Oryza sativa Japonica Group: one gene and its partner. The protein of the gene in region 1 binds, or shares a complex with, the protein of each later gene. Links are inferred from orthologs where the notes say so. Each region holds a gene or a part of one and is shown in the gene's direction. Other genes may lie near its edges. The genes, in order: protein TIC110, chloroplastic; protein TIC 40, chloroplastic.

Region 1 (4,447 bases):
AAATTACAAATCATCTCTTCTAGGTAGTAGGAAAAATAGGGTCACTTCAGGAGTGGAGAAAAGCTTGACGGATGACCACAAAATCACAGAAATATCGCAATCACATGAAATGTGTTATGGACACTTATAATAGACATCGAAAATGACTTCTGAGAACAAAACAAATTGTAGAAAAGCAATGCTATGCACGACATCTATATATATACATCCCATTCAACATCGTGTGTGAGAGGTCATAATTGCGAGCCTAATTTTTCTATTAAATTTCACATCTTTTAACCAAATGTTTCAAATACTACTGTAACATTTGAATGTTGAGAATGACGTGTAATAAGTAGCCATCATATGAATGATTGCTCATGTACGACATAGGATAAACTCATCTAACATACGTCTAATTGTGATCGAAATAAACCCCATATACAATACGTATTTACCACTATTTATCTCTCCTAGAAATCACCATATTATTCACAGGCCACCATTTATAGATGTGCAAGCTAAACTCTCTCTCACCACCACCACCTCCGTCGTTCCCGCTTGTCCCTCCAGATGCGTTATTGTTTACATATTATTTTTCATCTCGTATGATGAATTTACTTTCACACTATTATATTTTTCTCACCCTTAATGACTTTATTGTAGAGATTGACAGTATGTAACCTTCTGCTCCCCTTTGTTTTCACCGTAGTCTAACAAGCTAGTGCCCAATATTGACAATCATAATTACCTCCTTCTAAGAAGAAGAAGATAATCGCATAAAACAACCATCAATACAATTTTAGAAGTATAAGTAACCGAGTAATCCTGACTAGGAGTTTGGTTTCGTGGTCTTATTGGTGGAAAACATCACACACCTCCTCTCTCTCTCTCTCTCGTATTTCTTTTAGTGTGTCTCACGTGTCTTTTGGGGTGACTCCCATGTATTCACTCTATTTATTCCGTGTAAGTTCATTTGATGTAATATATTTATGTGAGCAATTCATTCCTCGGTGATCCGTCTAAAAAATACTCCCTCCGTTTCAGGTTATAAGACTTTCTAGCATTGCCCACATTCATATAGATGTTAGTGAAACGGAGGAAGTATAACAACTGAATAATTTGGATGGTTCCTATTTATTTTTCGTGGGAGAAACGCATTCCACAATACCAATACCAACAACCAGTATACTTGTGTAGCCCTGTTCATGTGAGATGCAATGCATGCATACAGTATACGATACACCGGACGCCATCACCTGGCGACAACCCGCTCTCCCGGTGCACCGCACGTCTACCGCTGGTCGCAGGCGCCCACCCAACCCCAACCCTTCCCTTTGGTCCAGCCGCCCCTGCCCCGACCTCACCAATCCCCGCCTCGTAACGCTATCCCATCTCCTCCTCCTCCACCTCGCCTCTTCCGCCTCATCCACCACCACCTCCTCCCCCCCACCACCCGTCGCCACCCTTCGCCGCCGCCGCCGACGAGGACCACCACCACCACGACGGTGGAGTAGCCGCCCGCGAACACCGAGGCGGCAGGGGATCCATCATCCCACGACAACGACCATGGAGCTCGCCCTGGCCTCCGCGAAGCCCTCGCCCTCGCCCGCGCCCGCGCCCCTCCTCTTCGCGCCGCTCAAGCCCCTCCCCCTCCTCCGCTTCCCTCCCCGGAGACCCCGCGCCTCCTCTTCCTCCGTGGGGGCGAGGCTCCGCGCTGGGAGGCGCGGGCTGAGGCTGCTGTGCCGCGCGGCGGTGGGGGCGGGGGAGGAGGTGTTCGGGCCGAGGAGGGAGCTGGCGGGGGTGCAGCCGCTGGTGGAGGCGCTGCCGCCCGCGGCGAGGACGGCGGCGGAGCTGGCGGTGGCCGCGGCGGCGGTGGCGGCGGGGTACGGCATCGGGCTCCGCGCGGGTGGGGGGTCGAGGGCCGTGGCGGTCGCGGGCGCCGCGGTGCTCGGGGCGGCCAGCGTCGCCGGGGCCGCCGCGGTGAACTCCGTCGTGCCGGAGGTCGCCGCCGTCGGGCTGCACAACTACGTCGCCGGATGCGACGACCCCACCAAGCTGGAGAGCGGCGAGGTGGAGGCCCTCGCGACCAAGTGAGTCGTCTCGATTGCTCGACTATATTGTAGGTGTGCTGCATTGGCCGTATGGCCCGTATGCTCGATTCGATTATATATCAGATGTCTTGACTCCCACCCTGCAATGTGATCTGTATTTTCCTTCCAATTTATGCGCCCTCCTAGCATTTACTCATTTATTTTTGAAGCTCCCATTTGTTTTCGGAATGCTAGTAAAATTTTGGTGTAGCTTGTTTCAGCGAATAAGGAACCTATAATTATTTCGATAATACATTTGATCGGCTAAAATTACCTTTAGGGATGGGACATATAGTTATATTTTTGCACTAAAATGTTTAAGGAAAAGGCTATACGTACTACATTTTTCTTATTAAACTCTCTTTACACTAATGTGTCATGTTATGAGTTCATCTACATTTCCTATAACTCCTATCTAGTTAAATCAAACAGCTGATATCATTTTGTGTAAGAATTTTTAAGTATGTGCAGCAGTGCTCAATGTAACATTGCCCCCACCCACACACACAGAAGCAAAAAGTCTTACCTGTTTATTTTGTTTCAGATATGGAGTTAGTACACAGGACGCAGCCTTCAAAGCAGAGCTCTGTGATTTGTATGCCAGGTGATCCTCTTGGCACCTGTTGTCCAGTTGTTTCCAATGCTTTATTTGAATGTTGGTAAAGAATGTCCATACGGAAATGGCCTCTAAGCCTAACTGTATTTATGACACTAATTCTGTTGTGTTCTATGTGTTGAATTTGGCTCAAGTGCCCTTATTATAGCTATTGTTTTCTCCTAGACACAAGTATTTGTTCTTGGATGTTTCCCCTCTCTTCTCTTAATATTCACCCGTCCCAAAGTATGGTGTTATTTTGCAGTTTTTAGTTGTCGATATGCAATTTGAGCTTCAACCATTACATCCAGTAATTTATATTATTATATACCTTGAAATATACAAAGAACAGCTAAAATATTACGTAAAATAATATTTACTAATATCATTTTTATTGCCAATCTATCAATGCGGACATCTCGATATATATATATATATATATATATATATATATATATATATATATATATATATATATATATATATATATATATATATATATATATATATATATATATATATATATATATATATATATATATATATATATATATATATATATATATATAGTAAATTTGTTTGGTGCTCCATGGTGCCCGGGCACCATTGTTGAAATTGAGTATATACCCAATTCAAATGAGTATGAAACTTTTTCAATTACTTAGGTATTAACATTAACTACTTTACTAACTAGTTCAAAGCATGTTTGTACTGAATTTGAACTTGTTTTTGTTAGATTTTGATTCTAGGTATATAGCATCCATACATATAATTAGTTAGGTATGTAATCATGGATTGTGAAATAAAGTTAAATTTGAGTTGTTTTGTTGATAGGTATAGATATGAATCGAATTATTATAACTAGGTATATACTCACAATTTGAAAATTTTGAAAAATTTGAGTGATTTTGTACATTAGATACCATGGTGCCCGGGCACCATGGTGCCCCATATGAGTGTCCTATATATAGTATATATATATATTTTGTTCCAATCACATTTCACATACCACAGTTTTGTATGTATGTGCTCAGACGTAGTTGCTTCTTTTGGCAAGCTCTTGTACATTACTCAGTAGCTAAACTAGATTCTTCTAAAATCAATCTTTAAAAATCTACCATTTATTGGTTGCATCTTATTGTTTTGGTCATGCAGTGTATATAGGAAGTGTCTTTGCTCCATCTTACCTCCATTTTATTTCCAGGTTTCTTTACTCAGTACTTCCTCCAGGAGATGAAGATCTCAAAGGTGATGAGGTTCAGACCATTATAAAATTTAAAAATGCTCTTGGGCTCGATGATGTAGATGCTGCAAATATGCACATGGAGGTATTGCCTCATGATCCAAGCCCCTTTATATCTTACTTGCCTGAGACGTTCTTCCTACTTTAGTGCCATTTTCACATTTCCTCCATTACTCCTTATGCCTTCGACTTTGCTTGTATAGATTGGTAGGCGCATATACAGAGAAAGGCTGGAAACAAGGGACCGGGATGCCGACATGGAACAGCGGCGGGTACGTTTTTGTGCTGTGATACATAAATGGATGTTTAAAACTTTCTACTGCCCCTGATGATAACTATTGTAAATATTTTGCAGGCATTTCAAAAACTCATATATGTATCAAATCTTGTCTTTGGGGATGCATCAACATTCCTGCTTCCATGGAAACGTCTTTTTGGGGTCACTGATTCTCAGGTATTTTATTATGAAATAGTCATCACCCATTTAAACTGTGCATAGCATGTCGGCATTTTCTGATTTCACCCCATGGAGAAAGC
Region 2 (4,400 bases), on another chromosome or scaffold:
AGGGAGTATTTGCTAAGATAAAATTACTTCTAATGGTTCACAACAAAAAATTCTTTTGGCTCACTGTAACTGATTACGTTTCCTTCGTCTATTTTTGTACAGGTTACTAAGAAGAAAGACTTGAGTGATTTTTACTTTGGTCTTAGTAAGAATGTTGCTTTCGGTGCACAGACACATGACAATACAAAACATGCTAAACCTGAAAAGTTAGACGAGAAAGTTCAAGATGCTAAAACTAGCAAGGTTGGTGCTGAAGTATCCGATCGCTCTCCTAAGCACAAAAGGGACTCCGGTGAAGGAGCAGAGACGGCCAATGAAAGTAGAAGTGTGGAAGAACCTGCTACAACTCAATCAAGGGATTCAGCTGCTGCTAGATCTACCGAGAAAAATGCAGATGTTTCCTTGGATGCTCCTCAGACCCAGACACCAGAAAATACCCAACCAGCTCCTCAGACCCAGAATCCACAGAATACTCAACCAGCACAGATCACGGATGAACACTATAAGAGAAATGCTGATGCACTTGCTGCTGCCAGAGAAAGAGCTCTGGCGCGGAAGAAAGCCAAAGCGCAGCAGATATGAAGTACGAGGCAGAGATACTCACCGAGTTTTTTCTTATAGGCTAAGGTCATCATATTCTTGTTTGAGGTTTCGGGAAGACTGTAAAATGATGGATGGTTTCACCCTTCTAGCATTTCCAGGAGATAATCCCCTTGGTTTGATCTGCATGATGCTCTACCTTGCTTGATCAAAATATATGTGCAGGCAACCCTTCAACGTTAGAATATCTCGTTCGGCTTTTCTGAACATTTGTTCTGCTGTAAGATGGGAAATAACTTAGCACAGTGAACTGAAGGTTGTATGCATATGTTCTCATTCATGTATACCGTTGTACTTTTGTAACTTGAGTGATTGAACGCGATATGATTTCTGCAATGGCACAAATTACTACTACTAGTTACACTCCATTCCATGGTGAACGGGATTACTTTAATTTTCTCTCTTCTCTCAAATTCAGAACCAAAACATTGAACTTTGTCAGTTAATAACAAGGCATAAAAGTTGTTTATTCGACTTTACTGGATTTCCCTTTTCATTTTTTGAACTGGCCCGAATTGCATTTTGAGATATTCGAATTTTGAAACATCGCATCTTAATTAGTAGTAGTATTATTTTTTTTCATCAGTGGTTAAATGTTGCTGTCTGCAATTAGTGCCTGAAATGAGCCGCTGACAGTCTGAAACTCTGAATGTCCCGATAGCGATGGATACTAGCCCCACGCAGCGGAAGGCGATGACTCCCCTCCGTTTCAGCTTCCTATCACTCACCGCAGGGGTAAAAGGGGGAACGTAGCCTACACAACACGAGCCCGAGGTCTCTCGTCGACTCACGCGCGCACCCACCCACCCAAAACCCTAGCGCGAGTGGGGAGGGGCGAGGGGGTGGTAGTTGTAGTAGCAGCAGCAGTAGAGCTAAGCTAGGGTTTTCCCTCCCCCCGCGCGCGCAGCAGGCGGCATGGAGAGCCTGGTCCTCGCCTCCTCCTGCTCCGCTTCTCCCCGCCTGCCTCCCCTCTCCGCGGCCCGCCGCCGCCGCCCCTCCTCGCAGACTCTCCCGGCGACGGCTGCGGCGTCCGGGCGGAGGGGAGCTGGGAGGTCCAAGCTCGTCGTCGTCGCCGCCGCCGCCGCCGCGGCCCGCGGGTCCGGGAACGGTGAGGGGGGTGGTGTGCTTCTGTGTGGGTGTGCTTCCGTTTTAGGTTTGTTCGTTAGATGCGAGCCGGATGCGCTCTTTGGGTAGGTGCGCGCTGAAAGCTCTCGTATGCGCTCGCTTCAAGTGTCCGTGCTATAGTGTTTTTTTTTGTGGGATTGTCAGGAATTTTATTATACTCTGTGTATCAGCTGGATCCATCGCTGTGCCATGGGCTTCGTTAGTGGAATTGAGTGTGTTATCCTTGCGAATTTAGTGACCTTAAGTCATGCATCCGTGATGGAATACTGTCTTTATTTTCGTAGTATGGTGGCAGTTGGTGAGTTAGTAATGGCCACCTTATCCAGTATTGGTAGTGTGGCAAATGATGAGTACAAAATGGTCAGCATATCTGTCCTTGTTTGTAGTAATAGCCGACGAATAGACAATCCCAATCAGCTTAGGATTTCCCCCATTTTAATCTTATGCTGCCGGAGGATCTCCATTATTCTGATTGTTTAGTTGTAACAACAGGTTTCGAGGGATTAAAGACAAATGGATTTGCAAGCATGTCGTCTTCGACCAACAGTGAGAATATGTCAACTGGAACGGGTTCCCTACCTCCCATGCCACCCCCATCGTCATACATGTGCGCCAGTTTCCCTTCTTTTGTCTGGCTACAATTTTCTCAACTTACACTGCATGATGACATGTAAATCCTTTGTGCAGCGGTTCGCCTGTTTTCTGGATTGGAGTTGGTGTAGCATTGTCCGCAGCATTTTCTATGGTGTGAATACAATTACCTGTAATGCTTTTTTGTGATTAAATGTTCTTAGAGTTGTATTTTAATACTTGGTGTTGGCTGTTATATCAGGTCTCTTCGATGGTAAAGGTGAGTTCACAACTTTCCTCTGTTTCTACATCTTCAAATGGTATGTACCCTATCAATTGCATACTTGATCTTGAGAATGACCCATGGTCACCTCTGCATACTAGTACATAAGCAAGAGAGGTATTTTAGTGAGCTTTTTTTGTGATGAACCTACATACCCACATGTGAGCCATGCCTTCCTTTCTAGTTCTTAATAGTTTGAAGCAATGCATGGCATATGTTCTAGCAAAGGTGGTACTGTTGCAGTGTACTCCCTCCGTACTCGTAAAGGAAGATGTTAGGACAATGTTTAAGTCAAACCTTGGGAATATAAATCATGAATAACTCTCAAGTTGTTGAGTTTGAAAATGTAAAAATTATATGAATAGATTTGTCTTGAAAAATACTTTCATAAAAGTATACATATATCACTTTTCAATAAATATTTTTATAGAAACAAGAAGTCAAAGTTGTGTTTTGGAGACCGTGTCGCTGTCCAGAACGACTTCCTTTACGAGTACAGAGGGAGTATTGTAGTTTTGTTAGACAATTCATTTTCTTATCACATAATTTCTAGTTCTTTTCAATATTGATAAAATAGCATAATATCCATGCATTGTGATGGATGTCAAAACAATTTGGTGTACTCCCTCCGATTCCATAATTCTTGACGTTTTGGACAAGGTTGAGGTCAAATTTTTATAACTTTGACTACCAATAACTTTAAAAATATTTAGTTTAAAGGTACTAGAACAGCATATTTAGATTTGTCTTATAAAGTACAATAATAAAAGTAAAAATATATATATTTATTATATATTATAATAGAAAAACATAGTCAAAGATATATTTTGAAGACCGTGTCATTGTCCAAAACATCAAGAATTATGGAGCCGGAGGGAGTACTCACTAAGATCAAATTTTTTTATATATAAAAGACTAAAGGAAGTCCTCTAATGTAAATTCTGCATGTAAAATATGATCATATCACCTCACCCAGCTTCAAAATATTGGCATGTAAAATAGTGCAATATTTTACAAAAAAAACCTATAAGTAACACACATGTATACATAAATTCACCCATAAAAGATCCAAAGTGAGGATGATACAGCATCATCACTTCCACTAGTTCTTTTAATTACTAGAGAGTTAACATTGTTGCACCACTTCTTTTCTCGAAAGTATATCGTGATGTATCCATTGTTGCACTGATTTAATTAATACAATGTTCTCTTTGTAGGTTTGATCTGTATAATGTCTTGTTGGAACTTAAAATCGTATAACTCTCCCTTGCTTGCCAGTTTTGACACATTGCTAATTCTGATGCAGAAATATGCAATGCAACAAGCATTCAAGTCAATGATGACCCAGGCACCGCCAAACACTTTTGGCTCAAACTCGCCTTTCCCATTTGCCATGCCACCACAGGCAGCTCCTGCAGCTCCTAGCAGTTACCCATACTCACAACCAAGGAAAGATACCTCTCCTCAATCTGCAACTGTCGATGTTTCAGCTACTAAAGTGGAAGCAACTGGAACTTTGGAAGAGGCTGATGTGGCTGAACAGCCAAAGAAGAAATTTGGTATTGGCCGTTTATCTCTGAGAATTCTTCTCCAACTATCAGTGAATAGGGGATGGAGCTTGTGATTAGTGTCTAATCTTATGTTTTCTTCATACTTTTGTCATGCATATCTCATGTTATTGTAACAAAATGTTTGCAGCCTTTGTTGACGTTTCTCCTGAAGAGTTGCAGCAAAAGGAACTTCAATCTTCACTGGAGACAGTGGATGTAAAAAGTGAGAGTAAACAGAGTGAAACTATGGAGGATACTGAGCAAAAAGTAAG

What was found.
Region 2: protein TIC110, chloroplastic (region 1) and protein TIC 40, chloroplastic share a complex: the UniProt entries of both Arabidopsis thaliana proteins name them as parts of the tic complex. The link is inferred for Oryza sativa Japonica Group from reciprocal best matches to the Arabidopsis thaliana genes TIC110 and TIC40.

The regions. Positions count from the first base shown.
Region 1 is NC_089044.1:19,363,690-19,368,136, reverse strand, and holds the start of protein TIC110, chloroplastic, read left to right. Parts: upstream 1-1,344; 5' UTR 1,345-1,548; coding exon 1,549-2,072; intron 2,073-2,616; coding exon 2,617-2,676; intron 2,677-3,871; coding exon 3,872-3,995; intron 3,996-4,113; coding exon 4,114-4,182; intron 4,183-4,265; coding exon 4,266-4,364; intron 4,365-4,447. UniProt on the Arabidopsis thaliana protein: Involved in protein precursor import into chloroplasts. Forms a voltage-dependent cation-selective channel at the inner envelope of chloroplasts, which specifically responds to a transit peptide.
Region 2 is NC_089038.1:22,289,887-22,294,286, reverse strand, and holds the start of protein TIC 40, chloroplastic, read left to right. Parts: upstream 1-1,436; 5' UTR 1,437-1,515; coding exon 1,516-1,708; intron 1,709-2,217; coding exon 2,218-2,332; intron 2,333-2,412; coding exon 2,413-2,470; intron 2,471-2,557; coding exon 2,558-2,575; intron 2,576-3,884; coding exon 3,885-4,137; intron 4,138-4,276; coding exon 4,277-4,395; intron 4,396-4,400. Other genes in the region: uncharacterized protein, read left to right, coding at 103-582. UniProt on the Arabidopsis thaliana protein: Involved in protein precursor import into chloroplasts. Part of the motor complex consisting of a co-chaperone (TIC40) and a chaperone (HSP93) associated with the import channel (TIC110).